Lepisosteus oculatus: one gene and its partners. The protein of the gene in region 1 purifies or fractionates together with the protein of each later gene. This does not show direct contact. Links are inferred from orthologs where the notes say so. Each region holds a gene or a part of one and is shown in the gene's direction. Other genes may lie near its edges.

Region 1 (7,194 bases):
TGTCGTGACATGGGGGTGGGTGCGTTTTGTCAGGATATGTCATATCGCGATATCGCGATATATATAGACTTTTTAATTTTTTTATTTTTTTAATTATTTATGCTTAACAAAAGAACAAACATTACAATACAAACAAGAGTACATATAACAATTCCAAACAAAAATATCGTCAGGGGTACATACTACTACATTAATTCAAGTTATGAAAAAAGATTAAACAAATTAAATAAAAATAATGTCCGCACCGCTTTCATTTTTTTGCATTTTGATATAGTCTGCAAACACCCCTTTACTTCCATTTTAAAATGCTCAAACACAGGGTACCTCCCAGACCACTTCATTTTATGTATGTGATAATGTGCCAATATAATAATTAAATTTATTACAAAAGAAATTTTTATATTGTTTTCACTGGGGCTGAAACTTAACATAATATCTTTTTCAACAAAACAAATATCAATATTCGTCTCTTTTTTAATATAATTCTGCAACTTAGTCCAGAACATTTTTACCCTGGAACATAACCAAAACAAATGCTGAATAGTTTCAGGGCTATTGTCACAAAAAACACATTTGTCATCTATATTAATTTTAAATCGTTGGGTAACAAGAGTTTTAACTGGGTAAATTCGATTAATTATTTTGTATGAAACCTCCTTAATTTTATTGGTTATACAATATTTTTTGGGCATCATCCAAATTTTTCTTCAATCAATGCGCTTTCCAAATGCGGAATTCCAATACATTGTAGTGGCAAGTAAATTATCATTTTTTAACAGGGATCTCAAAAATTGGTTATTACATCCACTACTCACAATATCCTTTCCTTGTAGTTTAATATGAGCTGTACATTCTTCCAATGTTTCTAAAGGACTACTATTACAACTCCTTAAAAGAGTTAATATTTCCCCAGAAATCGCATTAATTACAGCAAAATACTGATCCAAAGTAATAGAAATATTGTATCTATTAACAAACTCGGTGTAACTATATATTTTACCATCAGTCTTGATTAATTGTTTAATCCAAATTATATCATTCTTGACCCAGTTTAAAAAAAAAGGTTTTATTTCTAATTATTATATATTTGTTGTTCCAGATAGTAAATCTATGTGGGGAAAAGTTATGTTTATACATAAGTGACCACGTCAGAAGTACTTGTTAATGAAAACTGGCAAGTGTCAAGGGGATTTTTCCAATGTCAAAGTTACACTTTAGTAAAAACTCTAGAGCCCCTACTTCTTGAAATATCAGATTGGGGATTATATGCCATACACTATATATAGACTTTATGTCGTGACAGTGGCGCCATGACAGTGATGCGCCAGTCGCAATGGTTATCGCGATGTGATCGTGATGCGCGCACTCTTATCGTGACATGCTATCGGAGTCGTGAACGCGCTGTGGATGCCATGACATTCTTTGTCTGCTATTCAGTTGATAGAAATTGGAAACCAATGCATATGTTACTGTATATCCAGCATGCTCATACAGCACACACGGTTAACCGGGGCTACAGTATTTGGACCAAGAAGAACATCCATCACCTCTGTATCTACATTTTCTCAGAACTTCCGCTGTGGCGCTTTACCCAATCAGAGTGTCGATTCTCACTCTTCAACCAATCGCGACCCGAAGTGTCTCGGGGGTTTAGTCAATCACGGGTCTGAGAGCTGTTCAAGCTGGCAGCACCAGGTGGATCGGCGTGTTTAATAATAATAATAATAATAATAATAATAATAATAATAATAATAATAATAATTGCTTACACGTATATAGCGCTTTTCTGGACACGCCACTCAAAGCGCTTTACAGGTAATGGGGACTCCCCTCCACCACCACCAATGTGCAGCCCCACCTGGATGATGTGACGGCAGCCATAGTGCGACAGAACGCTCACCACACACCAGCTATCAGTGGGGAGGAGAGCAGAGTGATGAAGCCAGTTCAGAGATGGGGATTATTAGGAGGCCATGATTGGTAAGGACCAATGGGAAATTTGGCCAGGACGCCGGGGTTACACCCCTACTCTTTTCGAGAAATACCCTGGGATTTTTAACGACCACAGAGAGTCAGGACCTCGGTTTTACGTCTTATCCGAAGGACGGCGCCTGTTTACAGTATAGTGTCCCCGTCACTATACTGGGGCATTAGGACCCACATGGACCGCAGGGTGGGCGCCCCCTGCTGGCCCCACTAATACCTCTATGTATACTGTCAATGAGGATATATTTTTAAAATGCTTTACAAATTTGCAAAATAACTACATCGGCTTATTTTTTAAATATTTTTTTTTGTTGATTCACAATGTACCGTACTCTTCGAAATAAAGACATTTTTTATTTGCAATATAACTGTCTCCACTGCTTTCTGTAATTCATACATGGTAATTGAACAATTTGAATCGTATATTTTAGGGGAAACACCTTCTGCTTTGTAAGTCTATGATAATTATATTATTATGCTCGTGCTTTCAATTTTGTTTTTTATTGTTAAATTATATCGATCTGAAACGAATACCTAAAATGTGAATATGGGCTCTTGTGTTGTACCAGCGGTAATTTGGAAACTGGTGTCTCCTCACCAATGAAAGGAGTACACAAGCAATACATTTTCGAGAACATGGTTAAAAATTGAAAGAAAACACCTAACCCAATGAACTAACGTAGTAACTCCTCCCTAAATGTAAGTCTGTTTATTCGTGTAAAGGCTGCAAAGTCTGGGGTCAACTGATCAAAAGATTTGGTGGTTGTGGCTTTGCTGTTTTGTACGTCACCGAGTGACGTCACGGCCAGGAAAAGAAGGCGCTATATTGAAATAAATTGAAACATCCACCCCACCCGACCAGACAGACTCGGAAAACAAATTGCCCCCATTGTTTTCATCACAATCAGGACTTCAAGTACCGAGTTTGTTGGTACCTGTAAACTTCCTTGTAGATATTCACGTGATTACCCGAAAAACCAAGGCGCTATATCTCGGAAACAAAAGCAGCACGAACGCTACCTACAGCGACACAAACCGGCACAGACGCAGCAGTAACGATTGCGATGAGTTTCGTCGTTTGTGCTGTTCGACGGGCGGGTGGGCAACTTCACGGAGCAGGACAAGCAAACTTGTCTGGGTCATTACATTGCAGACTGCAGAAGACTCGACTTCACCTGAGGATCTAACACAGGCACCCATACCTGTGTCATCAGAGGGCAGGTGTGCCTCTCGCTGTATTCCACACCAAGGACTGGCTAGAAACACAAAGATAAAAGGACTGTGAGCTCATAGCTTGTGTTTGCACATAAGACCCCTGTAAATACTAACACACGGATAATGACAAAGTAAACCCTGCATTGTATTTTAAATACAAAATTTCACACGGATTTTGAATCTTGCGTTTTGCGTGTGTTCATTGTATTTTGTAATAAAATATTAACTTCAGAGTAACTCGTAAAACTACCGAAATCTAAAATTAGGCATTCGAAATACTTAGAACTGTTACAAGCAACAAGTGAAAATGAGCTCTTGCAGCTTTTCTTTAGCTAAAGACAAGGTGCTCATATGAGAGACCTTTGCAAACTAGCTGACATTTAAACGGGAATTTGCCGACTCTCTAGACAGTGACGAGATTATCGCCATATTCAATTCCCAGCCCCGACGCCTACGTCTGGTCTAGAAGGCCAAAACCTCACAACAGAGGTAGGCACTGCTTGTTTTTATGTGTATCCGCCGTGGCACAATGGCGTTCGGCAGCCTAGGTAATTGTTGCTTAACTTGTGTGTGTCTGTGAGAGAGAGAGACCGACAACACTGTCGGTCTCTCTCTCTCTCACAACACAACAACTCTTGGCAACACTGATTGTACCCATCGGCCATGCTAATAAAGCACCTTGAATTCAATTGAATTGAATTGACCGTATGTATATAAACATAAGGTTCCGCTAATTCTGCTGTTTGATTATAGCGCTCGAGGATTGCATTGTAAATTGGAGGGGTGGCCCTATGCTGGGAGTCAGTTAGAGCCCGGAGCACCCACTACGCCCCTGCCTGAGACGTTTAACACTCGTCCCTTCCCCGCTCTTTCCTTCAACTTGGGCAGAGACGCTTTCTCATTTTCCATGTTCCCCAACAAGCCACTCTCTATTCATCTGTGATTTCCTGTGACGCAAGAGGTCTCGCTGCACAACACACGAACAGTCCTTCCAGGTCACGCAAAGGCTGTTGTAGCGCTATTTGAAGTAGCGTGAAGCTAGCGATGAGTGTGTGGGTATGTCGTGCAGCGTCTCTCAATGGACTTGTTGTTTACAAATAAATTACTTGGAAAACAAGCTGTAGTGGCGACATCACGATATTCTGTCTATTCCCGGAATACGAGATGCTGAAGACAGAGAAGATCCTTCACCTCAAGAGCTCCCGCGGTCGAAAGGTCCGTGTCGTGCGGGAACATTATTTGAGAGAATATGTACCTTGCTACAGCTCTCTGTGCCAGGCGGACTGCAACAACGGTAACGTTATTGTTTCTCGATTTGTAAATGAAACGAAGACAAAACTGGACACAAAACACCCTTTCCAGCATATCGTTTCCGAAAAGCTGTCTCTCCTGTAAATATGTAGATCTGCCGTTTGCGTACTGAGAAAAACACGAAGCAAGCTTGTGATCAGTCTCTCTGTATTCCCTCTTTTCCCTCGTCCAGGAAACTGTAAAACAATCTTAACGCGTTATGTGAAAGTAAAATGAAAAATAGCAGTCTGTGCAGGTACAGAAATCCCCTGGCTTACTCTCCGCAGCGCGCTGGCCGGCGAACCCGCTGTGTGCAGGCTCGGAGGCAGCTCATTTCTTCTTTAAAAAACAGCCACTTGTTGCTGCTCGTCTCGTTGTAAAAACGCAGTGTGTTTAACGTGATCTCTGTTGCCTTGCCTTTATGTAGCACGCGATTAGATTCATATTACATTTGAAAGGATAAATCAGTTAGCTATTGAAAATAAAAAGAGATAAACACACCCGTAAGAACACCATAGAGGCTACAAACGAGAGGAGGCGTTGTGGCCCATCCGAGCAGTTCGGTGCTTACTAGCTGATCTGAGGATCTTGGTGGGATAGCTTGTTCCGCACTCCCACCACACTGTGGGCGAAGAAGTGCCTCGGTCCCCAGTTGTAAATGAACATCCGCCTGATTTCCACCTGTTTTCTATGGGTCTTGTTTTCACCATGTGTTCTGAAGATGAATGAAGGCCCAGTGCCTGCCTGCCTGCCTTCCTCTCAGTTATAAACCGTTAGATCAGATAGATTCTTTATTGATCCTATAAGGGAAATTGCAGTGCAACAGCAGCTGAGCGCAGTCAACACAGCAACTGTGTAAGGAAATAATACAATAATACAGCAACACAACACAGTCAGTGAGAAGTGCACTCAAAAAAGTTGCACACAGTACAGAATGTACAAAAAACAGAACAGTACACAAAAACTTTTATTGCACATTATAAATATAAAAATACATTGCACAAAAAACAGAAAAAAAACAGACGTTTGGTCCAAAAACGGCGTAGTGGTCCACATATAGTCCTGTGGCAGGCTCTTAAAGCTGTAGAGAGCCGTGTAGTGGAAGCAGCAGTGATGACCAGCAGCCATGATGATGATGATGATGATGATGATGATGACGACCAGCAGCCCCAGAGGCAGTGCCAGCGGCGGGGGGGGACAGCGCGGGTGCTGACCGGCCCTGGTGTCTGTCTGCCAGCAGGAGGGAAGGTGCTGCCCGGGGATGTGACCCACTACGTGGTGCCAGATGTGGGAGTGGTGCAGGACTTCCTGGAGGTGCTGGAGTTCGCGGAGCTGCGGGGGATCGTGTTCATGCAGACGGCCTGCCAGTCCGTGCAGCAGCACCGCGGGCGCAGGTACAGCTGGGGGTCAGAGCGCAGGGTCAGTCCCCTGGAGCAGCTGGGGTGAAGGGCCTTGCTCAGGGGCCCGATGGAGTAGGATTCCTCTACCGGCCGCGGGAAAAGGAGAACTCATGCCGTGAGCAGGATTCGAACCCCAGCTTCCAGAATGCGAGTCAGGCACTGAAGCCATTATGCCAACGAGCTGCTCGCCATAGGTATAAGGTATAAGCTGGAGCAGGGAGTTCACCATGCTTCGGCTGCAAAAAGGAACAAGTAAAGGTTTATTCCGTGCCTTCTTCAGGTGTGTGACGGGCCTGAAGAAGGCTCCACAGCCGAAACACTGTGTTTCTTTTCTTCTCTTTTCAGCATGGGATAAACCTTTACTTGTTCCTTGGCACTCTCCTGTGTAGTTGCCCAGGGCGTTCTGCAGGGAAATATGTCATTCATAATTTGTGCATATATCACTTTTCATCTCAGAGGATCCCACAGCGTTTTCACTTGCAGGAGGGACACACCTGGGTTGGTGTAGCAGTTCTCATGTGCTCACGGCCCCACTGCTCAGCAGATCAGCTGAAAGAATAGTGCGCAGTTACTCTACCTACTGGACTGAGTGGGAGATTTGACAGTAGGCAGGTCAGAGTGTGCAAGCCTAGAGTGGAATTTAGCCAGGGCATGGGGGGTTAACAATCCTATTCTTACCATTGATTTCCCGGGCCCTTTAATGCTGATATATTTGTTAGGAACTTGGTTTAACATTACTTTGCTTTTACGAAGGTTAGTACCTCTATTAGCGCGATGTCTGTTGTCACATTATTGGTTTGGATGTCTGTTGTCACATTATTACAGCAGCATATCACCCTGCAACTCACAACTGGCAGCCCGCTGAAGCTCAGCAGTGTGAGCCTGGTCAGTACCTGGATGAGAGACCTGCTGGGAAACGTTAAAAGTTGCTGCTGGAAGAGGTGTTAGTGGGGCCAGCAGGGGGCGCTCACCCTGCAGTCTGTGTGGGTCCTAATGCCCCAGTATAGTGATGGGGACACTATACTGTAAAATGGCACTGTCCTTCAAATGAGACGTAAAACTGAGGTCCTGACTCTCTGTGGTCATTAAAAATCCCAGGGCGTTTCTCGAAAAGAGTAGGGGTATTATCCCAGCGTCCTGGACAAATTTTCCATTGGCCTTTATCAGTCATGACCTCCTATTAATCCCCATCTCTGAACTTGCTTCATCACTCTGCTCTCCTCCCCACTGATAGCTGATGTGTGGTGAGAGTACTGGTGCACTATGGCTGCTGTCGCATCATCCAGGTGGGGCTGCACACTGG
Region 2 (7,301 bases), on another chromosome or scaffold:
TGACTTGCTGTGAAATATTTCTTTTTAACAACTGAAGTGAAAGAAAAAAAAAACTATTCAATGAGCCTTAAGGACTTATAACTGAACTGAAGCTGATACATTTGTTTTCAAACATGACAACACACCAGAGTCAGTTTAGCTGTAGCAGAGGCAGACTGAGATTGCCGGTATTCTCTGATTTATTATTACAGGTGCTCTGTTCGAGCACTGAATCTGAATTCTTCTTATTTTCAGGCTGTCTATTTATAGTCCTTAAACGGTGCTCGGTATTGTAATGAAGTTTGAGTTTCAGCATCACAGCCAGAATGTTTCTTGGCAGTTTCTGTCAGCCAAGGCCAGAGTTCTAATTCATTGTCTACTATATCTTCTGGAAACTAGCCCTTCTGAAGCACGGGTCTCCACAAAATACCATCACCGGACCTGTCCTCTGCTTTTTTAGCAACGAACGTGCGTACTGATGTTTACCTTCTTTTCTAACCTTGACTCTTCAGTCCAGCCCTGGGCCTGCTGTAAATCACTCCTTCAGTGTACCATTATACGAGCACCCAGAGAGACCTTGTGTTTCCCTGCTTCCGGCAGGACCGTCGCTATGCTGACCTGACGGAGGACCAGCTGCCCTCCTGCGAGAGCCTGAAGGACACCATCGCCCGAGCTCTCCCCTTCTGGAACGAGGAGATAGTCCCGCAGATCAAGGAGGGCAAGAGGGTCCTGATCGCTGCCCATGGCAACAGCCTGAGGGGCATCGTCAAGCACCTAGAGGGTATGTACCCGCCGAGGACGCTCTGTTTTTAGGGCAGGGTTTCAATATTATGGCAGCTACATTTCATTTAACCTATTTTCCCATTAATCTTGTGGCACCAAAACTGGTACTTTATTTCTGATGTTCTCGTAATGCCTGACTGGCCTCGGGATTTGTTTTCGACCTGCCGCCGGCCGAGCTGTTCCGGCGGCGCGGCGGTGGTGGCAGGATGCCATTACTCAGGCTGCTCTTGTGTCGACAGGCATGTCGGAGGAGGCCATCATGGAGCTGAACCTCCCCACGGGCATCCCCATCCTGTACGAGCTGGACAAGAACCTGAAGCCCGTGAAGCCCATGCAGTTCCTGGGCGACGAGGAGACTGTCCGCAAGGCCATGGAGGCGGTGGCTGCCCAGGGCAAGGCCAAGAAGTAAAAAGAAAGCCTCCTGTGCACGAACGCTGGAGGCTCCTGGCAGGGGGGCGCTGTGCCACTGCTCTCGGAGGACACACGCAAACCTCCCTTCTACACCACACATCACAAGTTTCATTCCCGGCGCTCGCTCAGGTCATTTAGCATTGTCCTTCTCTTACTTTCTTTCTGATACAGGACAGTTGGAGGGTTTCTTCAAGGTAACAAGCAAGAAGAGCGGGCTTGTTAAATTTGTCATACGCGAAGATGGACAGGGTAGGATGAGGAGAATGTTAAAGACTAATGTAGACCAAAGCTCAAACAAGGGACCAGTAGCTCAGTCAAACAGTTTCTTGACCTGCAATATCTGACTCCTAGCTTCTTCATTCGAAAAAGGTCATTGATAATCCTTACAGTTTGTTTAAGCGTTCATGAACAAATTCGTTTTACATATGAAGCTTTGTTTATGCCATTAAAGAATTTGACAACTTTTCAAAGGGAACCCTTGGCCCAGTTTAAAAGGGAAGTCAGACTTTTCATTTTGTCTCCTGTATAAGTAAATATGCAACAGGGAAAACAAAATTTGGACACAAAGCTTTATTATTGCTGGATAAAGCTGGAATGTGCCCTGTAATTCATTCTCACAGGTTTACTTTTCACAGCAACTTCTGTGTGCGCTGTAGTCATTCCGATGTCGCACATTTTGAGGTTTTGGGTTACAGACCGGCACACGAGGAGCAATGCTTTTGCATTCGATTCATTCCACGATCCCTGTTGTCAGCTCCTGAGAGCTGTTGCCACCTGGGCACCTCTGCCTCCCTCCCTCCCTCCCTCCCGTCACATGCTGGTATGTCTGTAGTTTTCACCATTGTGACGCTGTTTGTGTGTAGGTTTCCTGCCAGTTTCCCGTGAGGAGTGGGCTCTGCAGCTTGAGCGCATACAAGCGAGAAATAAGGAGCCCCTGTCTCTGAACCCAGTGTAACATCGAGTGTGAATCCGTCACCTATAGCACCTACAGTGAGAGCCAGTGAATCTGCTTTGTGTACAAGGCCTTTCCATACACAGTAACAGATTCTGCTTCAAATAAAAGGGCTGCTGAGGTAGGACACGAACTAACACATTTCTCCAGTTTGTCTTCCTCTACCGAAGACCCAGTCTAAATCTTGATGTTTTGATTGTTAGTTCTGTCTTGAATCTTGGCTTTGGAGAGGAGTATAAGCAGCCAGTTACTGCAGCATTCTTCGGTTCTGCAGGTGAAAGCCCCTGTTCCTCAGTTTGTATGTGTGCAGGATACTCTGCCCCTGCTCTTCACATGAGTGTTCATGTGGCTTTGCTGCCAGTGGTTCTTCAGAGAGCTTCAGTTTGATTAGGGTTTATTGCAATGCACTGTTTTGATGTACACTGAACCCCTTGTGTAAAACAAATAAATCCTATGATGTGCAGTATTGTATTGACTTTTGTCCCTTATTTTCACTTATCTCATAAAATGATGTTTATGATTTTTTTCTTTTGCACTTCCATATACTCCTGTTAAGCTATATAAAAATGTGAAAATTTCTAGTTGAAATAAGATTTAAACATACATTGAAATCTGATCTGTAGTCTTCATAAATACCACATCACTAATAGTATCATTCCATACTTGCCAGAGAAACCTATTTGTTGGAAGAATTAAAATAATTGTTGGAGATATTCTCTGCTAAGGTCTTGAGTGCTCCTGTAAGGTGCTTTTCAACAGGGAGAAGTGTGGTCAGAGTGCCCTCTGCTGGACATAATTCATCCTGTGTTTTAAACGCGTCCTCAAAAACGCTGGCATTACAGTATTTACCATGAAACCTATGAAAGTAAAATTAGTTATGCTCTGGTGTGTTTCCTGAGAGGACTGATGAAGATGGGGTCTGAGATCCATGGAGCTCGTACACGGTTAGGTAATGCACAGGACATATGTAAAATACTAAAATAGGAAAATATTTAAAAAATGGATTGGATGGATTGAACTGTATTCTATCCTTTGCAAAGTTTAGCTGTAAAGAAACAAAGGGTAATTGGGATGCACATCTATTATCCAGAAGAGCGGAGTGGAAGAAGTAAACGGTTATACAGGTGTTCACAAATGGGGGAATTAAACATTTGCTTTAGGTGAAATTACCATCTTGGTTGTAAACGATTTAATCCGGCGATAAATTAAGGAGGTGTCTGACGTTCAAACTACATGTGGACCAGACCCGCTTTTCTGAAAAAGTATTTCGAATAACACTTGGAGTACAGGGTACCCTGCCTGTTTGGAAAATCACAAATGTAATTACCATTCATACCAAAACGGGGACAAAATTGAATTAAGGAATTATAGACAGGTCAGCTTCTCAGCCACGTCTAAAGTAGTGTAAGTTTAACTAGAGTAGAGGAGCACATAAAGAAAAATGCAATCCTGAAAATAATTTTAGACAGAAGATAGTGAACAGACAAGTGGACGACCGTGACGGGACTGCTCGATTACATGGAGGTATCCGTGACTACTGCTCTCAAAATGTAGACTACATAAAATGCATTTGTGCTTCCAGAACGTTTTTGAAAAATGACACATGAAAGTGATTTAAGCCTGTCAGAGCAGAACTTTCCTTTAAGGTAAAAACATTCATAAAGCCTGCATAGATAGATCTTTAAAGGTGATACTCTTCTGCTCGTCACGATCTCCGCTTTTAAAACAACTGTACATTTAGGCACAGGTAGAGGTTTATTCCATGTTGAAAGGAAAAGAAAAGAGACGCAACGTTTCGGCCGTGTAGTCTTCAGGTGTGGCTTTAACAATATCACACCTGAAGAAGGCTCCACAGCCGAACCGTAATGTTTCCGCGTGGAATATACGTTTACTTGCCCCTTTGCAGCCTACGCATTCTGAAGCAGCTACGTACTCGAACTGTACAATTACAGGTGGGATTTTACTCCATGTTTTCTGTTAACTGGTGTATTCAGATTAACATAACTTGCAATACAACAAAATGTAGCCATGGTAAAATTAAAAGCACATCATAGACTCGCAATCAGGTCACAGGTCTCTTACTCGACCGGAAGTCAGTAACACTGAACCACTAAAAAAGCTTAATCTAGAACAGCCGTTCTTAGCTTTGGCCAATCAGATGACTCGTTGCTTCTGCCGTGTGGGCCAATCAGAGCATTTCTTATTCTATTCTGAAAACATGTCTCCTAAGACGCTGTGTGTGCCAGGTACGTGGGGTTTAAAAACGTTATGTGAAATAAAATGTATTTAATGACTGAATCGTCTGGACCTGACAGCAGTTAATACACACATGGATACATTTTGACTGCAGGGTTTCACTTTCTTGTCTTGTATTGATTCTTAGTTCATTCACCAAATGTTGTGTGAGTTTTTAAAGTAAAAATCATAGTAATTCTTAAAAGTTTGAAAATGATCCCCTGACTGAGCCACATTGTTTAATATAACACTTTTTTGTCAGTAAGGGTAGGTCTCTCGGGGCAACAGAGGTTATAGCACATTTCGTTGCTGTTTTCGGTAGCTGTATTCATAAAGTGATGCCAGAAACTGAGTATGGGTATACCTGTCTTGCAGAACAACTTTGCAATTGAATGATAAATTAAAAGTCGTATTGAAAGGACTCGGTGTATGGTGAGGTATAACATTAGAAACAGTAGCAGTATCAAAGCAATCCATCAGGAGCCAAACACTTAAACCTAGTATAGTTTGTAAAGTTAACCTCGCTTTACCGACAGTTACATCATCCTGACGAAATTCGTGTCTTAGGTACGTCGTAGAGACTATTTTTGAAGCTTAACGCCATTTATAAAGTAGACATTTAAACCATTAAGCCACGTCTTCTGACCCCGTCCTTATTAAAGTTGGCACTTGAAAGTTGTTATTTTCAAGTGATGCTGACAGTATAAACAGCATTGTTTGATTGTTCTGTTGCTCTGGGGCTGGACTTTGAGCAGTGGTTGCCTGTAAATATTGTCGTCCCGCAGGAGAGAGGCTGTGCAGCACAGAGGAGTGTGTCCCGGGGCCTGGAACGTACTTGCGTCATGGCTACATCTTTGCCTCCCTCGCTGGTTATGTGCTGAGGAAGAACGCGGGAGAGGAGGTGGGTGAGAGTGTGGAAGAATTGTACTTCCTCCAAGTGCATCTCCTAAGTGTGGAAGGAAGTGTTGCGTGTGCAGAGGAAAATGGTTTAAAATATACCAGAAAGATCTGTAAATGGTCATTGAAACTGGATTGTGCATTTGTGATGGTGCAAGAGTACTGTTCTAGCAATGGGAGATTTGTCTTGGCTGTTGTGTTCTGCAGATGCCTGTGGTCTCGGTGGTGAAGGAGAGTGAGGCTCAGCTGCTGCCTGATGTTGGCGCTACAGTCACATGCAAGGTAGGAGCTCTGTCCTCCAGGGTGTTTTACACAGAAGTATGAAGTTCTCTGTCCTAACATCCCTCGGTTTGCTCTGTGCTGCACAGGCATAGCAATACTAACATAAGCCTACCTCACTGTTTTTTTGGTCATTTGTATTTTGGTATTATTGTTTTTTTTGCCACCCTAGACTAATAATATCTTAAGTTGTAGATAATAGCCGAAAATTCCTATTATAGATGTGAAGTGCCAGTGAAACAGAATGTCATTTTTGTCCTGGTGATTGTGGAGTTAGTGTTATGAAAGAGGCTTGGTCAACATTATAGTTCCAGGGGAGTGAAGGTCTTTTGCCAACAGGTTACAAGCATCAACCCACGATTTGCTAAGGTCCAGATCCTCTATGTTGGATCCACCCCACTGAAGGACAGATTCAGAGGAACAATCAGGTAACTAGAGCAATGACATTTCAAGTAACATGTCTCAAATTATATTTTAGCATATACTTTTATTTACTTTGTAAATACCCTAATAATGCATAACATATGTGTTGTTCTTGTGATACATTTTTCTCACTGACCCGTCCATGGCTGTCTCCTTGCAATGCTATGTGAGAGTTAATAATTTTTATGGACAAATTGAGTTTTTGTATGTAATTTCACAATTGAATTTTCCATTCATAGTGAACTTATATTCTGTTCTATTAGTGAGTGAAATGTGAAAAATCCACATCACACGGACAGGTTTTGTGTGTATGACCATAATTTCTGAATATTTATTATGCATTTTTTGTCCTTAGAAAACACTGTTGTTTCATTGTCAACTGCTGTATTTGAACTGTTAGTCTAAAAACAATTTGCATTTATTTTTGGTGCTTGGAGACTCTACTGAATAATTTCCATCGGTCCATGTGTTTTTTCATTCAAGTCTTGCCAATTCTTCTTGCCTGTTTGCATCATGTTAACACAATGCACAAAGTCTTGGGCTAACGATTTAAACAACTACAACAAATAAATAAACGTTCTATACATGTGAGCTTTGTAGTTATAAGTTTACAGACATAAATGTAACTATATGAAAACAGATGAAAATAGCCAGGACATTAAGGCTAAAGCCCAGGTTGAGGAAGAAAGCTGGTCCCTGTCATCACAAAGGTGGTAAAATGCCGCTGTCATGTACGACAGAGTAGTGCTGCTTATTTTTTGGCACAGTATAAGGCAAATTCCCATGTGACCCTGAATTAAAATATTTCTAAGCAATACTGAACTGATGGAAAGTTGAAAGACGCTGGCGTCTCATGTTTCTGTGAGTGTGATGCATTTAGGTATTTTTGGTACAGAATCTAAATTTCTAATACTTTTTTTTGTAGAAAGGAAGATGTGAGAGCTACAGAAAAGGACAAGGTATTATTTTCAAATTGACTTGCAGTGCATTGATATCCAATAAGTGCCTTTATTTCCGGTTTCCCAATCCCATGACCTGTAAATTTACTCTTTATCAGGTGGAGATCTACAAGAGTTTCCGACCAGGAGATATCGTTCTAGCCAAAGTTGTATCCTTTGTAGATGCTGAAGGGCAGACAACAGCCCTCTGTTGCTCGACACCTTTCTGATGCTTCTAAAAAACATTAACAAGAGCTGCGCGTTTGCCGATGGGTTCATCGGCAGTCAGCGCACGCTGCATGCAGTGCAGCTTTTAGCGGTATTGTGAATAAAGGGCTCAATGGAGATGTAAAGCTTGAGTAGTAATAAGTCTGACCTGTATGTCTGTACAAAATGTTCTGAAT
Region 3 (7,288 bases), on another chromosome or scaffold:
CTTTCCTTAATGTCTTTGCATTGGAGCACACATGCGAAAGAGCACTCCACTGCCCTTGTGCATACGACAGAATAACCTGGACTGAACTGTCACACTCGTCTCCCAGGAAGGCCACTCAGCTGTCATATCGTTGCACCAGGATGAGCCCACAGGAAGGACTGCAAGTGGCATCCCAGAACATGAGCAGTGAAGCAGCATGCAGTCAGGCTGTTAAAAAAATCACCACCAATGGCATCACACCGGGACCAGCAATCAAGTGCATCATTCTGCCTGTGCGCACCATGCTCGCCAATATACATCAGGGTGGGCAACGCAAACCGCGATTTATTGTGAAAGAGGCTGGTCTGTTCCTGCAACACCTTTGCCTTTGCGTCACTTGGGATTTCTTCATAACAACGGACGTTCACAAGGTTAAATCAGCTCGTCGCCTGTGCCCAATCAGCCCTCTCACTAATGAGGCGACTTCATGCTTATGAAAGCGTCAAAGTCACTTGAGTGAACCAGGGTCAGTCATTAATGACCAATTCATCAAAAATAAAACCGATATGCAAAACGAACATTCTTTCTCATTCTAGTAACATATAGAAATTGAACTATTGAACTTTGTTATGATATTCTATATCTCCCTCTTTAAAAAGCAGCCAGATTGTAAAGGTACTGTAGGTGCCTTTCTGTGAACCTACAAGGGACATATTTGTGTACTGTACACACAAAGGGAAGGGTATATGACTAAGAACTAGACTACGATAGTAGGTAAACACTAAGAACTAGAAATGCCAGACTACAATGTCACTTTCACCAAAGGGACAAATGTAATAGACAGAAAGGTAAATTATTTCTCAGGCCACAGTCACAAAAGAAGAAACACTATTATACGTACAACAATGGTACTGCAACAAAAAAAAACGACAACAAAATAAGATCACATTCTAATTCAAAACCAAATAAAAAACTAATGCATTCATCAGATGGGTTGGAATTCTTTCTTACCAACAGAAGAGGCAGATTCTTTTCAATAATTGATGATTTTAAACAATAATTTAAAATAAGCTCAATAATTCAAAGGGGGAAAAACTTAAAATGAAGATGACAGAGCAACCAGCAACATTAAAAAATACAGCCAACAGATGCAGTGTCAGAGCAGAATTTCTTAAATCAGGCTGAAACTATATCTTGATCGTCAAAAGAATTGTAACGTGAAACATGAATTCCTACGATCAACCTCGTCACAAAGAAGGGGGAGAGAGTGCGGTACTGACCACCACATTGTAAAAAACGTGATTAATAAGTAATATTACTAAGTTGCTATAGTAGAACTGCGGACGTTTCAAAGCCAGCAGCAGAACTCTCAAATGCTCCTCATAAAAGTAACTCAGTTCCTTAAATGTCAGAATCCCGGCTAATGCCAAACAATCATTACGAATAATAAGAGTTATACATCATCTAGAAATGATTAATTAGCAGACAGCAGTCTGTGCGAGGCTGGCTTCTTCAGGCTTTGAGAGACTCCAAGCACTATTCCCTTTGGCTAATGAACCAAGTTACCAAGTACTTCACACACACAAAAGCTTTTTTTCCCTGCAAGACCACAGGCCTTGTGCGACTATCAATGTCACTGTCCCGGAAACACGGCTCTTCTACAATTACAGTGAAGATTAATAATGCAAATAATCCAACAGCATTATAGGCAACTTTTCAAATTAAACAAAATCTATAAATTCACAATGTGCAATTGTGCAAATGTTTCCCTGTATTCAATAATGTACTTTGAAATTTACTATACATAATGCTGACCACATGGACACATTGCTATACATACAAAATTCTCAAAACCACTGCAGAGCGTTTTCTCTGGCATGCATTAAGTGTGCCGTGTGCAGGAAAATGTAGCGTTGGGGAACAAACCTTAAACTGTGCAGCACAATTTTGTAACGATGGGCAAAAGAAACGCAACACAGCTCTAAAACTGATCTAGTCACAAACCACAGAAAATGTGATGGGATCAAAGAAATGCAAAAGGTTTTTCAGACTAAAAGGTGAGAAAATGCCACAAAGTCAAAATGAAAATATTGCAAAGGAAGCAGTGGGAACAACTGTCCTGAGCAAATGATGCACGGACCTGATCAGCCTCTGCACAGTCCGCTGTGGGATGATCCGACACACCTCTGCAGCTGCTTCCAGCAGCTGGAAGTCAGCTGGTCACACCTGGCCGGAGCAACACTCAACACGAAGCTCACCATGTGGGCACCCCTCCATCGGGTTTGTCAAGAGTGAAACCGCCAGGTGAGTAAGACACTCTTAACACCCCCTCGGCTGCCACCTCGCGTGTTCTTTGGCACCTTCGGGAGACGATGCCTGAACAGCCTTCACACTCGCGGATCTTTTTCGTGCACGTGTGGAGCTACAACATCTGCCGATATGCTTGCAACGTCCTCCAGGATTTCCTCCAGTGACGGAGCCCCCCCAACCTGAAGACAGTCCCGCAATGGGACGCCACAGTCCCGGCCAGCGTGGTGCCCCCCTGCCTCTCGGGCTGTAGGCTGTCCCTCACAGAGCCAGTTTCCTGGTTTCTCTCAACTAGTGAGCTGCCAGCCCCATTCTCCTGCGGATCAGCTCTTCCTACAGCCTTCAATCATGCAGACGGCAACCAGAGGATCTTCACTTCTCCAGCAGGGCAGGGTCATATATCTCACTGTTCTTGCGTTAATTAAATCACGTTTATACAGGTTGCCAGCTCATCTTGATTCTTTTAACTCTTCACAAATACTAAACAGCAGGCCTTTTACTAAATCAAACGACTTGATAGTATTTCGCCCTCTCAACGAATACTACTCAATCAACAAATCATCTCAACTCTTAATTAAGATGTGAATAATATAGTGCACAAGCCCAGTGCGCTACCGTTATGAAAGTGGTACATTTTCATTGCACCCCTATACTTATTTGTAAAAAATCTATACTTTTAAAACACCAAGTGGAGGGTAAATCTTGTTATCCTGTAAGTTCGTGGGACTACTACTGAATGCATCGTGAATATTATTCACAAACAAATTACAGTAAGAAAATAGCACTCAAGTTTAAAAACTAGTTAGCATTGTGGACGTTTAGCATTGTGGAAGACGTTAGCAACATCAGCCTATATCACAGCAATGTGAAGACTCCCAGCACAAGATAAACACATTAAAATGACGTCTGCTGTAGTGGCATTCCATAAGGGTTCTGGGGGTAAACACACTGTACGATATCTCTGTTACACTTTCTACATTACTTGTAACATGGATCTGCTATGGTGATACACACTCCATCGCACCACAGATGGTGGCCAACCTGACACGACAAAAAGCTGCCGACTGACGAACTGGAAAGACCGCCAGCCATATCGCCGCAGTCACTCCTCTTCAAACTGGGAGGAATGCGCGAGTGGGGTGGACGCGACGATGTCTCCCCGAGACTGCCAACCTTTACGCTTCGAGATGAAACCGACGTCAAACCCGTCCACCTTCGCGGCATGGGCTCGACTTCCAAAGGCTATTTTGCGGTATCTCAGACAACGCTAGCGCTATTTTATAATGGGAGGAAACGCAGACTGGCCAAAGGTGGCATGTTTTTTTTTTTTTTTTTTTTAAACGAGCCGTCGTTTCAGCTACAGGAATCCAAACCACCGCCACTGTGCAAGATTTCGAGTTTAAGCCGAACAACTGGTCTGCACTCACCTTTCAAAGGACGAAGGGGGGTTGCACGTTTAAGGCACAGGCGGCCAGATGTTGTTTCCTTGTCAGAAACACCCGCGATGGAAAACCTAATGTCAGCTTCATACACTCGCTGCCTCCCGCTGCCAGCGCACCTTGGCGAACCGCGATGCGCGCCTCCCTTCTGAACCAAAGGCGCTGTGCGTGTGTCTTATCACGCAACTAACTGCCGGTTTGCCCGACCTACTCCTCCTTAACCCATAGATTAAGGTGGCTGCAGTTCCGCATCACCATGCCCCTGCTCGACGGTGCAGTCGGTAGGGTCCCTGTACTATCTGGAGAGCTCTGGCCAAGCCAATGCAAGCGAAAGTAACCAACCAGGAAGTGCGCCGTGTGCGTGAAGAGGCGACGCTTCCTGCGCCCCGAACTCCAGCTAAACAACACCCTTCCTTCCCGTTTTTTCAGTCACACCAGTGCGAAATCTTCCGAGGCGTCCTTCTTGGTATATTACCCCCCGGAGGCTGTTGAAAGGCAAAGGGCTGCCAGCATATGCAACAGTTTTTCCAAGTCCGCAAAAATCCTCACAGCATTGCGCAATCGGACCGACCTGGCGCGCCCCCCCCCGGCGTGTCGCAGTTTGATGAGGTAGCGGCTGTCCCGGCCACACGTGGTGCGGAGAAAACATGGCTACTGTGCAGATCAGCGAAGCAGAGAAGGTCTACATCGTGCATGGTGTTCGGGTGAGTTACCTTATAAAATTATACGAAATTGTGTTTTGCTGGGAGGGGGGTGGGTGTTCAATTTTGGTGTGTGAGTTTGTTAAGCGGGAGAAACGGAGCTTTAAATGCAAACCAACTTCTCTCTCGCCGTGAGAGTAACCTGTTTTCAGTGCTTATGTAGAAACCCAGTTGGTAATAAGCAGTCGGTAGCCGATTAACAACTTCACGCTGAAAGCGATTTTAGAAACCTGTTTGGAAAATAACGTGCACGATTTATTTTTGTATTTTTTTTAGGATGACCTGCGAGTGGATGGGCGGGGCTGTGAAGATTACAGACACATGGAGATTGAAACTGATGTAGTGTCCAACACCGACGGGTCCGCCAGAGTTAAACTGGTAAATAACACATCCGGTCTGCCTTCGTTCTAGAGGCAACGATGCAGCTGTGCGTCTCACTGTCTTCCCTGCGCTCAGACAAATGAGCTAAGTGACAAGGGGGTGTGTGTGTTCATGATAAAAATATGGAGGTTTCCATGTTTTTCATTGCTGCTTATGGGTAAATTGTTGATGAAGATATAACACTTCATTTAGAACACCACTGCGGAGATCTGAGTTATCCAGACAGAGTGACAAAAGAGAGTATTGTGCTCAGCCACATTCTCTACATCACATGTTGCTTCAGACTTCATTTAGCAGTGTATAAGCCTGTTTGCAGTGTGAGTTGAAATAGGATCCCAAGCTTTCTCAAGGGAATAAACCTTTACTTGCTCCTTCGCGGTGTGATGTTTATTTGGTTTCTCCAGGGGTACTCGGATATCCTTGTGGGAATCAAAGCAGAGATTGGCAGACCGAGGCCCATGGTGCCAGATGAAGGGTTTCTGGAGTTTTTTGTTGACTGGTAAGTTGTTTTTTATTCCAAACAGCAGTTTTCAGCACAGTACCACTGCTCTCACTGGGTCCTGTATGTTGCACAGATTGACAGTGCAAATTTAAAAAGTAAAAATAATTCACAATGTCTTGTGACAGTAGTAATATGAATTCTACACTGTACTTACAGTTACGACAGTTGAATATTAAAAAGTTCTAGAGTATTAACTCTTCAAAAGTGTATGATAAGTAGAAGGATGAATCTGAGTGTACCATAACTGAAAATACGTAGTTCTGCTTCAATTTTAAGAGCATACAGAGAGTCTTGCACAAGTATCCTGAAGGATTCCACATTTTATATCCGAGCTGGTAAACCTGACGCTTTCAAATTTGACTTTTTATTTTGAATCAACACAGACTATTCCTAAGTGATAAAGCGAAAAAAGAAATGCTGATAGTGTTACCAAAGTTATCTTTTCAATGAAAATGTCAAAATTCTCTGTTGCATTCAATACTCAAATTCTCTGCTGCACAGCTCAGGTGCAAATGATGAGTTTGAAATTTTGCTAAATTATTCTGATGTTTTTTTTCTGTGTGTAATCCAAGTAGTTTAACTTTACTTCAGAGAACATTTGTCTCTGTAAGCTTCCTCAGTTAGATATGGAATTTCGAGCCACAACACAGTTTTACTAGTGCAGTTGAGAAAAGCCAGCCGGTAGCAGTTGTCTCCTGTGGTGGTCTATAAGACTGAAAACCCCTTTTCTGAAGCGTCAGCTGTTAGGCCTTAGTGCTGACACAAAGGCGTACCAGGATGTGTTTATTTTGATTTTGGATCAAAACAGTTGTCATTTAAGAACCACTCCACTGAATACACTTCGTATACACAACCAGTAGGTGGAGGTAAAGGATTAAAAATGGATTTTTTTTGCCTTTGCTGAAAGTCTTTGAAACAGAATTTTGGTTTTTAATGTCAACAGACATGTTTTCTCTCACTCTGAGGACCGGTAATCAATGGTTTTCAGATTAACTCTGAATTTCTTTAGGCAGAGGGTGAAGTGACAAATATTTAATCACAACAATACATTTTCTAATGTTGGGAGTGTATTCTGAGTTCAGTTCCAACACTGATGATAAAGCTGATTATTCCTGGTGAGGCTGACCCAGAGGACTTCCGTGTTGCTTAGATAGAATCAGGATTATATCCTGGACAGCGAGCTAGTCTCGAGAGAGAGGCGCGCGCTCACTCCTGCACACATACACATAGAACCCAGAGACACCTTGTCGCCTTGTCTGTGGGCATCCAGAGGAAAGTGGAGCACCTGGGCACAATCAATGTGAACACCTGCAAAGCTTGCAGAACCAAATAGAAGCTGCCCCAGGCCAGGATCAACCCTAGAGTCCTAGAGCTGTCAGTCCTCACTGCTGTGCTGCCCAGCACAGAGAAATCCGTCTCTTCAAACCTCTGCTCCACATCTTGTCTTGCACGCTGGGAAAGGACAAGAGGGGAAAGCAAAGTAGAGTCACTTTGAGAACATAGAAGGTTAACGATGCTATAGTAGCAGATAGTGGTTGTTGCAATATTGGTAAGTCCATTTTGTACGCAACTGTTTTGTCTTTTCCTGAAATCTCCAGGATTTAAGGGCTGGTTCGAGCTACAAATCTTCACGTGTTTTTGAAAACTTGCTCCTCAGCTCGGCAAACGCAACCCCAGAGTTTGAAGGGCGAGGGGGAGAAGACCTCGGCACCGAGATCAGTAACACGCTGTACAAGGTGTTCAACAACCGCCACAGCGTTGACCTGCGGGCGCTCTGTATCAGCCCCAAGGAGCACTGCTGGATTCTGTATGTGGATGTGCTGGTGAGTACGTCCGCTCCAGAGCCTCGGAAATTCAGTGCGTAGCATTGCACCTCTTTATAAGAGGTTTAAAGATACACTGCCTTTATTTTTCGTCTCTCAAGGAGAGGGAGTTATAGTTGGTAATTTCTTTCCCTGATTTAAATATTCGTCTTTGCA
Region 4 (7,463 bases), about 32 Mb from region 1:
TTACTGCCATCATCGACAATTATCACTTCATAAGTAAAGGAACGCTGCCGCTTCTGCAAAAGAAACGTTTGCAGTTGAATTGACAAAGGATGGAGAAGAAAGAAACTGGAATATCAGCGCCACCTAGTGGTTATTTATGTCTAGTGCGCATTCTGTTCTAATGATCTATTTTCTATAACCTAAAGCAGCTGAACCCTCAAGAAGAATCTGTAACTCTAAAAAACTGGGTTATTCCTCCCTGTAGTAGTGAATCAGATTTCGAAGAATATGCTCTCAGGCCAGCTTAACAGCCCATTTTCCTTTATTATATGTTCAGCACAAATGTGTTCTAATATGTGATATAAATATACATGACTCAAAACTTTTTTTAAAACAAAAATAAATCATATTTCACTTTCAACCATTGTTACACAGTATAAGAACATTTGGTGAGTTATAGTCAGAAATTGTCTCAATGATTGAAAATGCATATATACAGTAGACAAGATACCTGTCTGTTTTCCAAATACTCCAAAGCCTCATTCATCATCAAAGGCACTGAAAGGAGAGTGTGACAACACAGTCACTTGTTTTTCAACAGTACGGTTCTGTATAACCGAGAATGCGATAGCTGTGCATCTGACAAACTTTGTAAAAAAAAAACATTTTAAAATTATTTTTTTGTAACAGGTAAGGCAGGTAAAAAGCACTGTGAAACTCCATTTTCTAGCTGTTTCTTGTAATTCAGGGTTGCTGGGGAGCCAGAGCCTATCCCGGCAAGAAACAGGCACAAGGCAGGGTACATCCTGGAATGGATGCCAGTCCCTCGCAGGGCAGACATATACAAACACAGACACTACAAAATTACACCAGAGCCACATTTCCCAGAATTCAATTAACAAACCGGTATGTTTTTGGACTGTGGGAAATAACTGGAGGACATGGCTGAAACCCAAGTGAACATGGAGAGAACCTACAAAACTCCACACAAATAGCACCCCAGGTCTGGAACTGGATCCAGGACCCAATGCTGTGAGGCAGCAAGGTTAACCACTGTGCCAACATGTCACCTGCACTGGTAAAATTATTAATGCAATGCTGTCAAGCTTCTAAATGAATTACATCAAAATTTTTGGCATTGCTTTAAAACAAAGCAGGGTTACTTCATTGCTTCTCAGACTTATTCTGCTGTAAGGAATGTGGAGGGTGAAAATGAAGTTATTTTATATCTCAAACTACAGTGGCTGAGATACAATATATGAAATTTAACAGTGTAAGATGGTTACAGCTCTTTAAAATCTGGCAGACTTAATACTTAATTCTAAATTAAAACAGCTCAGTATCATTTAATTGACTAGAACTGCACCTTTTTCCAAACCATAGATTCAACATGTTTGCATCATTACAAAAGAAAGACAGCAATTAATCTTTAAACCTGGACAAACTACAGACACTGAAGTCTGTGCTGAAGCGTTCTTGAGGAAGAAAACTTACATCTCTGCTCTTCATTGTATGAGGGCACTATCACTGAGAGGTCTTTGGAATGGGGGTCGTGGAGACTTGGAAAAGCTTCTTTTTTCCCTTCATTAGTCAGGAAAGTTTTTTCCTTCTCGTGACGTTTCAGGTCAACAATTTTAGACGCACTAAAATGTGCTACTAATAACACCTGCAGAGGAGGAAGGAACAGTCATTCACCCACTCGTCAACCTTCCCAGTAATGTACAGTAAGAGTTACAAGGGTCATCCCATGACCGTGAAATGCACACAAATGAATACTAACAACACAGGAGAATCCTGTACGTGAAGGGTACATTGTGGGTGGAAACTTATTCTAATAATAATAATAATAAGGGACAAGTAATAGGTTTATTCCGTGCTGAAAAAAAGAAGAAAGAGAACACAACGTTTCGGCAGTGGAGCCTTCTTCAGGTGGCGGTAGAGGAACACACACACACCACACCTGAAGAAGGCTCCACGGCCAAAACGTTGTGTTCTCTTTCTTCTTTTTTTCAGCATGGAATAAACCTATTACTTGTTTCTTTGCAGCCTACGCATTTTGACGCAGCTACCCACCTGAACTACATAATAATAATAATAATAATAATAGTATCACTTTATTAACCCTTTACAATTTCTTGCATTAGGAATTGTCTGTTTGCATACCCCAGCTTGCTCTCCATGAGACACACAGACAGGGAGAGAGCCTGGGGTCAGAGCGCAGGGTCTGCCATTGTAAAGCACCCCTGGAGCAGTTGGGGTTAAGGGCCTTGCTCAGGGGCCCAATGGAGTAGGATTCCTCTGCCGGCTGTGGGATTTGAACCGGCAGCCATCCAGCCACAGGCACAGATCCTTAGCCACAGAGCCACCGCTCCGCCAGATACTACTCACTCAAATTTTCACTTTATTAATTATCTCAAACAACAACTTAAACCAAACACTAGAGAGACTCTAGCGTGGGAAAAGCTATCAATAGTGTCACCAACTCGGTATGCAGTGGAAATAAAGAAAAATCGCTTCCCACTTGTCGTGCGATGTCAATTAAAATAAGTAAATTACAGTTGTAACCTTGGTTTTCCCAAGTAAAGCAAAGCAAAAGTAAAGCAAGATCTCATTTTGAAACTTGCAACTACTGTACTTTGAGGGGGACAAGATGTTCTTATCCCGGCATTATTGAAAATTTGCAACAGCGCTGTTTTGCCTCTAAAAGGCCTTGATCAAGAAAACAAAACAAAGCCCTTGTTTGTTTCAATATTCGAAAAAGTGCTTAATAAATGTGCAACTCATGAAAGTGCACATACCAGTATAATCTGATTGTACATAAAGGGAGGGGTGCCCAACTGAAATGTGAGTTTTGTTATAGCAAGCCCCAAGTAAAAATATTCCATGGCATTTAAATTTAACAACCATTCTACAAAGCAGACTGGAAAGCTTTTGTTTCCCAGCATGTAGCAGAGAGGTGGGCAGTCCTACTCCCAGTGGCTTGGTGTGTCTGCAGGTTCTCTTTCTGATTTCAGCCTAAATCAGCTGAATTTAACAGCTCCTCCCAGATTTTCTTATGTTGGTCCTTCATTGAGATCTAGAAAACTTGCAATTACACAGGTACCCCAGAAATTCCCAATTTAGGGTACAACAATGCCCTGGTACTTGGGATCCCTGAAGAAAATACTGGTGATCAGGAGATTATAAAAAGCGTACTGTGCAATGACATTAGAGCACCTATATTAACATTTAGCCTGTAAAGAACACATTTATCTCACTGCTTTGCATCCAGAGTTACATGAAGTTAAAAAAAACCCATTTACATTAGCGCTAAAACCATGTTAAGTATAAAGCTGCTTGCTCATAGTTTGCAATTGTCCCTGGCACCTCTGTGAGACCAGGAACTGTTGAATGAATGAATCACAAGCAGGTAATTGTGTCACGGATGGCGTTTTATTTTCAGATCCAAGAGTAACACAAATAAGTCCAAATATTCCAAATACGTTAAGGGGAAAGAATACAGAATTAGCCTAAATGTTTTAACAGTTTTAATATTATTCCTTGGAGAAAGATGTGGACAACAATACTTAGACACAACCATTTTAAAACCAATAAAATGTAGTTACTGGTACTGTATAGTTCTTGTAAGTTAAATGCCACTAATGTGCAAGGAGATCAGAAACAGTGGACTGGTTTCAAATTTACTCAAGAATAGTGTGTCTTCGAGGTAACACATCAGCATACAAGTGCTGTAAATAAAAATATAATTTACCGTAAACGTAAATCGCGATAATTCATACGCATTTGTACTGCCCATGATAACATCGACTTAAAATGATATACATGTACATATCAATATCCATGCATACTTACCAAAATTAAACAAATCAGGGCTACAGCAGCAAAAGCTAGAACGATTTCACATAAACAGCAATCCATTTTCCATTCCAGGGCCTACAGAAAGACATGAACCGTATTCCCCCAAAACTAAAAATGCTAGTACATCGAACCAATCAACTATTTTTTTCCCGCAATACCATTTTTTTTACACGTAGCTACAACTGCCCTCACTGACATACACTGACGCGGAAGTGTTTCCCACTTCCCAAGTGTTAAGCACACATCATCATAATCCAAGAGGGCATCGAATACACATGGGTAAGGTAAATACGACTGCGGCCTCTACCGGTTTGGAGCTGGCTCTCATGCTAATACATTTTAAAATTCAAAACGTAAATATCGATCTGTCTCGAACATACTAACATTATACAATTATGAGTACTATAAATTGCAAAACATCAAGATGCGTCCCCCCCCCCCCACATATCACATTTACCTCATTCATCACGCGAATGATATTTTCCTCTTTTCACGTTACGTGCAGCTAATTAAAAAAGGCTTCGTTTTTTTAACCCGTATAAAGTAAAATAAAGCAAAAATATAGAAATTCAAAGTACATAAAACGCGAATCTGTTGCGAGCTAATCTTTGGTATATTCACCCCGCCCACCCGTTTCACGTGGTGCACCACGGAAGCAGCATGGCGGCAGGTTACAAGTAGGTGAATTTAAATTCCCCCATCGTATGAAAAGTTAATTTCAACCACTCAGTGGAGATGAGGAATACCATTGGATTGTTTTCAGGCACCGAACATCGTGATTTCTGATAAGATCGCTGTATTTCCACTGCTGAAACCGGGACTGTAGATAATTTACGTTTGGAACGTTATACGCATATATCGTATTAATTCATAACTAATCCGCGTTGTGAAATTATTTAACCAATTGATAAGTACAGGGAGTCGCTCCATTCGTGTCTTTAACAGGAGTTTTCCATTTATGAACCATTCATTTAATGTGGTCATTCGTAGTGTTCCAAATTCAAATGAACAGCCTGTCTATAATGTAGCATTACTGTATGTTGCTTTAATGCAAGATCGAGCCGCACACGTATGGTACATCGTTTTTACTTTCCCGGCAGATTATTTTTGCGTTGTGAAGTCTTGACAGAAGGGAAAATGTAAGAGAAAATGAGATTTGCTTCTCTTTAAAATGTAACTTCTTTCCTCTTTCAGAACTGCAGACCCTCTGGAGTACCACAGAAGCTTTTTGGTATGTTTTGGTTGTCTAACTGTATTTCGTAGTCTCAACACACAATTTACTACGTGTAGATGTAAGTTACTGTCAGGAGTAAATTGCTTCCTGTATAGGTTCATTCATACCATGACAGTAATGCCAATTTTTTAAAGCCATTATTGAAATACAGAAGTAATGATCAACGCGAATGACAATACATTGTGTACTGGTGAGACCGGAGATCTTCCGGTAAATTAATGCATTCATTTTTAAATGGTCTTAAAAGGGTTCCATGTTTTGAAGGATCACTTTGATAATTAAACATTAGCTTGAGAGACTTGCACTGGAAGTGTAATGATTGCTCACAACTGAGTTAAGCGTCAGGGTTAAGATGAAGAGTTGTCAAATGAAACAGTTTTTCTAGAAGTTCTGCGAATTTAAGTGATTTGGATTGTTCGACCCCATTAGAAAGAGAACTGCAGGCCTGACGGACGAGAGCTTGGTGAATTCCGAACCACCACATTGAACATCGGTGAGCATTCACAGTTCTTGATATACTGTAAGGCTCTGTGCCATTGAAGTTAAACGGCAAATAGTATACAGTCTCTTTGCTTTAAATTAGCATCTCTATTCAGTAACTTCTCAAACACACCAAGGTGTAAAAAAGATTTGAATCCTCTACTCATGCTGATGAGGCATTGTACCAGAATGGTCACTGACTTTAGTTTCATTACTGCTCTAAAGAAGTTGTTTTGTAGATGACTAATGTATCTTAATGCGCTTCGTTAGGTTCTGTTTCAACGGCTGATGGCTCTGCCTTAGTGAAGATAGGGAATACCACCATCATCTGTGGTATTAAAGCGGTAAGGCCAGCCACACTTCTATTACTGTACACCTGTGAGAACAATAACACAGCTGTCCATTAGTGTCCACCAAAATCTCTGTTGTTGCATGTTAGTGTTAAATACAAGTAGAGTGTTATTCTATAATATTCTTAGAGGTACACTGGTTTCCACTATTTTAAACAATGTTCATCAAGCTGACTATTCACTGATTAAAGATCCCTTGACACTTTTTGAAAAAGTATGGGGATTAACCCCAGGTGCACTGTCTAAATTCCCCTCTGGATTTGGCCTTTTTAATAGTTCCTGTTAATGTGATGGGTGAAGTGGTTAATCACTTTTCCCCTTGATCTGCTGTATTGTCAGGCCGCTGGTGCATACTGACTGCCAAGTCACCCAGGCAAGTATTTTAGTAAAGGGAATATTAATTATAGACTATTTCTCTTGGTGTGACAGAGGGATTGGAAAAGGAGAATTTGTAAGTAGGATCCATTTCACCCTGATTTTTGTCCCCACCCCTTTTCTGTTGCAGGAACTTACAGCTCCACCAGTAGATGCACCAAATAAAGGTTACATAGGTAGGGCATATATCAAGAAAATAATTTCTTATGGTGTATGGACATAGAATAACCTTCCTTCTGCAGGTGATGTGGCACAAGTAAATCTTACAGCACGCTTGTTTCGTGTTTGTTTCAGTTCCCAATGTCGATCTGCCGCCCCTCTGTTCCTCTCGGTTTCGCCCTGGTCCTCCAGGAGAACAAGCCCAGGCAGCCAGTCAGTTTATCGCAGATGTCATTGAAAGGTATTCAGCCCCAGAGCAGCATTTATACCAAAGTTACCCCGTCCTTGTTCGGCATAGCAGCAGTCCAGTAGGTTTTCTGGATCACTTTTGAATGAAGAATGTATAATGCCATGGGAAAATGTCCCACTTACCCAGACCACTTGGTTAAATGTGAGTAATTTAGACCCTTAAGAATAAAGAAAACTGAAAGTCAGTCCACAGTTTTATATTTGCTTTAAGTAATCAGAAATAGTTAATTAAGGCTGATCTTTGCCTCTGTAGGATTAGGATGGACCACACCTGATCTATAGAAATCAGCTTGAAGACACAGTCTCTTAAGACTTTTCCAGTTGTCTTGCACTGTTGAACTACTCAAAACTAAACTATTCTCCGTTTCTCAAGTTCTGTTGTCTGATCACACTTTATCTATATAAACATATTTTGGTTTCTTTATAGTTCACAGGTAATACGACGAGAAGACATTTGTATTGAGAAAGGAAAGGTGGGTTTTCTCTTGATCTCCAGCTATTAACAATGTTTTAAAAGTAATTACTTAAGACTTCTTCACACTTTTTTAAACCTCAGCTTATATTTATTATAATTTGCAGTGTATATATTTTTTTCTGTAATGTAATTTGCAGCTTTCTGTATTTTAGCTCTGCTGGGTCCTGTACTGTGACATTATGTGTCTTGACTACGATGGCAATATTCTGGATGCCTGTATTATAGCCCTGATAGCAGCTCTTAAAAATGGTATGTATAACAGTTATTTTAATGAAAAACTTAAGCAGTTTAAATAAGCAGTTAT

What was found.
Region 2: the proteins of dis3l (region 1) and exosc1 purify together in Homo sapiens (affinity purification with mass spectrometry; 4 studies listed by BioGRID and IntAct, counting the BioPlex papers as one, with this or other methods). This does not show direct contact. The link is inferred for Lepisosteus oculatus from reciprocal best matches to the Homo sapiens genes DIS3L and EXOSC1.
Region 3: the proteins of dis3l (region 1) and exosc7 purify together in Homo sapiens (affinity purification with mass spectrometry; 3 studies listed by BioGRID and IntAct, counting the BioPlex papers as one, with this or other methods). This does not show direct contact. The link is inferred for Lepisosteus oculatus from reciprocal best matches to the Homo sapiens genes DIS3L and EXOSC7.
Region 4: the proteins of dis3l (region 1) and exosc8 purify together in Homo sapiens (affinity purification with mass spectrometry; 4 studies listed by BioGRID and IntAct, counting the BioPlex papers as one, with this or other methods). This does not show direct contact. The link is inferred for Lepisosteus oculatus from reciprocal best matches to the Homo sapiens genes DIS3L and EXOSC8.

What each region holds. Positions count from the first base shown.
Region 1 is NC_090700.1:47,684,788-47,691,981, forward strand, and holds the start of dis3l (DIS3-like exonuclease 1), read left to right. Parts: upstream 1-4,173; 5' UTR 4,174-4,365; coding exon 4,366-4,495; intron 4,496-5,728; coding exon 5,729-5,885; intron 5,886-7,194. UniProt on the Homo sapiens protein: Catalytic component of the RNA exosome complex which has 3'->5' exoribonuclease activity and participates in a multitude of cellular RNA processing and degradation events.
Region 2 is NC_090699.1:16,729,463-16,736,763, forward strand, and holds the start of exosc1 (exosome complex component CSL4), read left to right. Parts: upstream 1-4,291; 5' UTR 4,292-4,343; coding exon 4,344-4,371; intron 4,372-5,145; coding exon 5,146-5,261; intron 5,262-5,464; coding exon 5,465-5,539; intron 5,540-5,875; coding exon 5,876-5,964; intron 5,965-6,884; coding exon 6,885-6,918; intron 6,919-7,016; coding exon 7,017-7,067; intron 7,068-7,301. Other genes in the region: phosphoglycerate mutase 1, read left to right, coding at 580-760, 1,002-1,171. UniProt on the Homo sapiens protein: Non-catalytic component of the RNA exosome complex which has 3'->5' exoribonuclease activity and participates in a multitude of cellular RNA processing and degradation events.
Region 3 is NC_090705.1:41,383,079-41,390,366, forward strand, and holds the start of exosc7 (exosome complex component RRP42), read left to right. Parts: upstream 1-4,275; 5' UTR 4,276-4,372; coding exon 4,373-4,429; intron 4,430-4,702; coding exon 4,703-4,804; intron 4,805-5,211; coding exon 5,212-5,306; intron 5,307-6,966; coding exon 6,967-7,132; intron 7,133-7,288. UniProt on the Homo sapiens protein: Non-catalytic component of the RNA exosome complex which has 3'->5' exoribonuclease activity and participates in a multitude of cellular RNA processing and degradation events.
Region 4 is NC_090700.1:15,731,514-15,738,976, forward strand, and holds the start of exosc8 (exosome complex component RRP43), read left to right. Parts: upstream 1-4,448; 5' UTR 4,449-4,497; coding exon 4,498-4,514; intron 4,515-5,031; coding exon 5,032-5,068; intron 5,069-5,500; coding exon 5,501-5,564; intron 5,565-5,821; coding exon 5,822-5,895; intron 5,896-6,406; coding exon 6,407-6,452; intron 6,453-6,570; coding exon 6,571-6,676; intron 6,677-7,111; coding exon 7,112-7,157; intron 7,158-7,311; coding exon 7,312-7,408; intron 7,409-7,463. Other genes in the region: alg5 (dolichyl-phosphate beta-glucosyltransferase), read right to left, coding at 1-53, 491-537, 1,474-1,645, 3,832-3,897. UniProt on the Homo sapiens protein: Non-catalytic component of the RNA exosome complex which has 3'->5' exoribonuclease activity and participates in a multitude of cellular RNA processing and degradation events.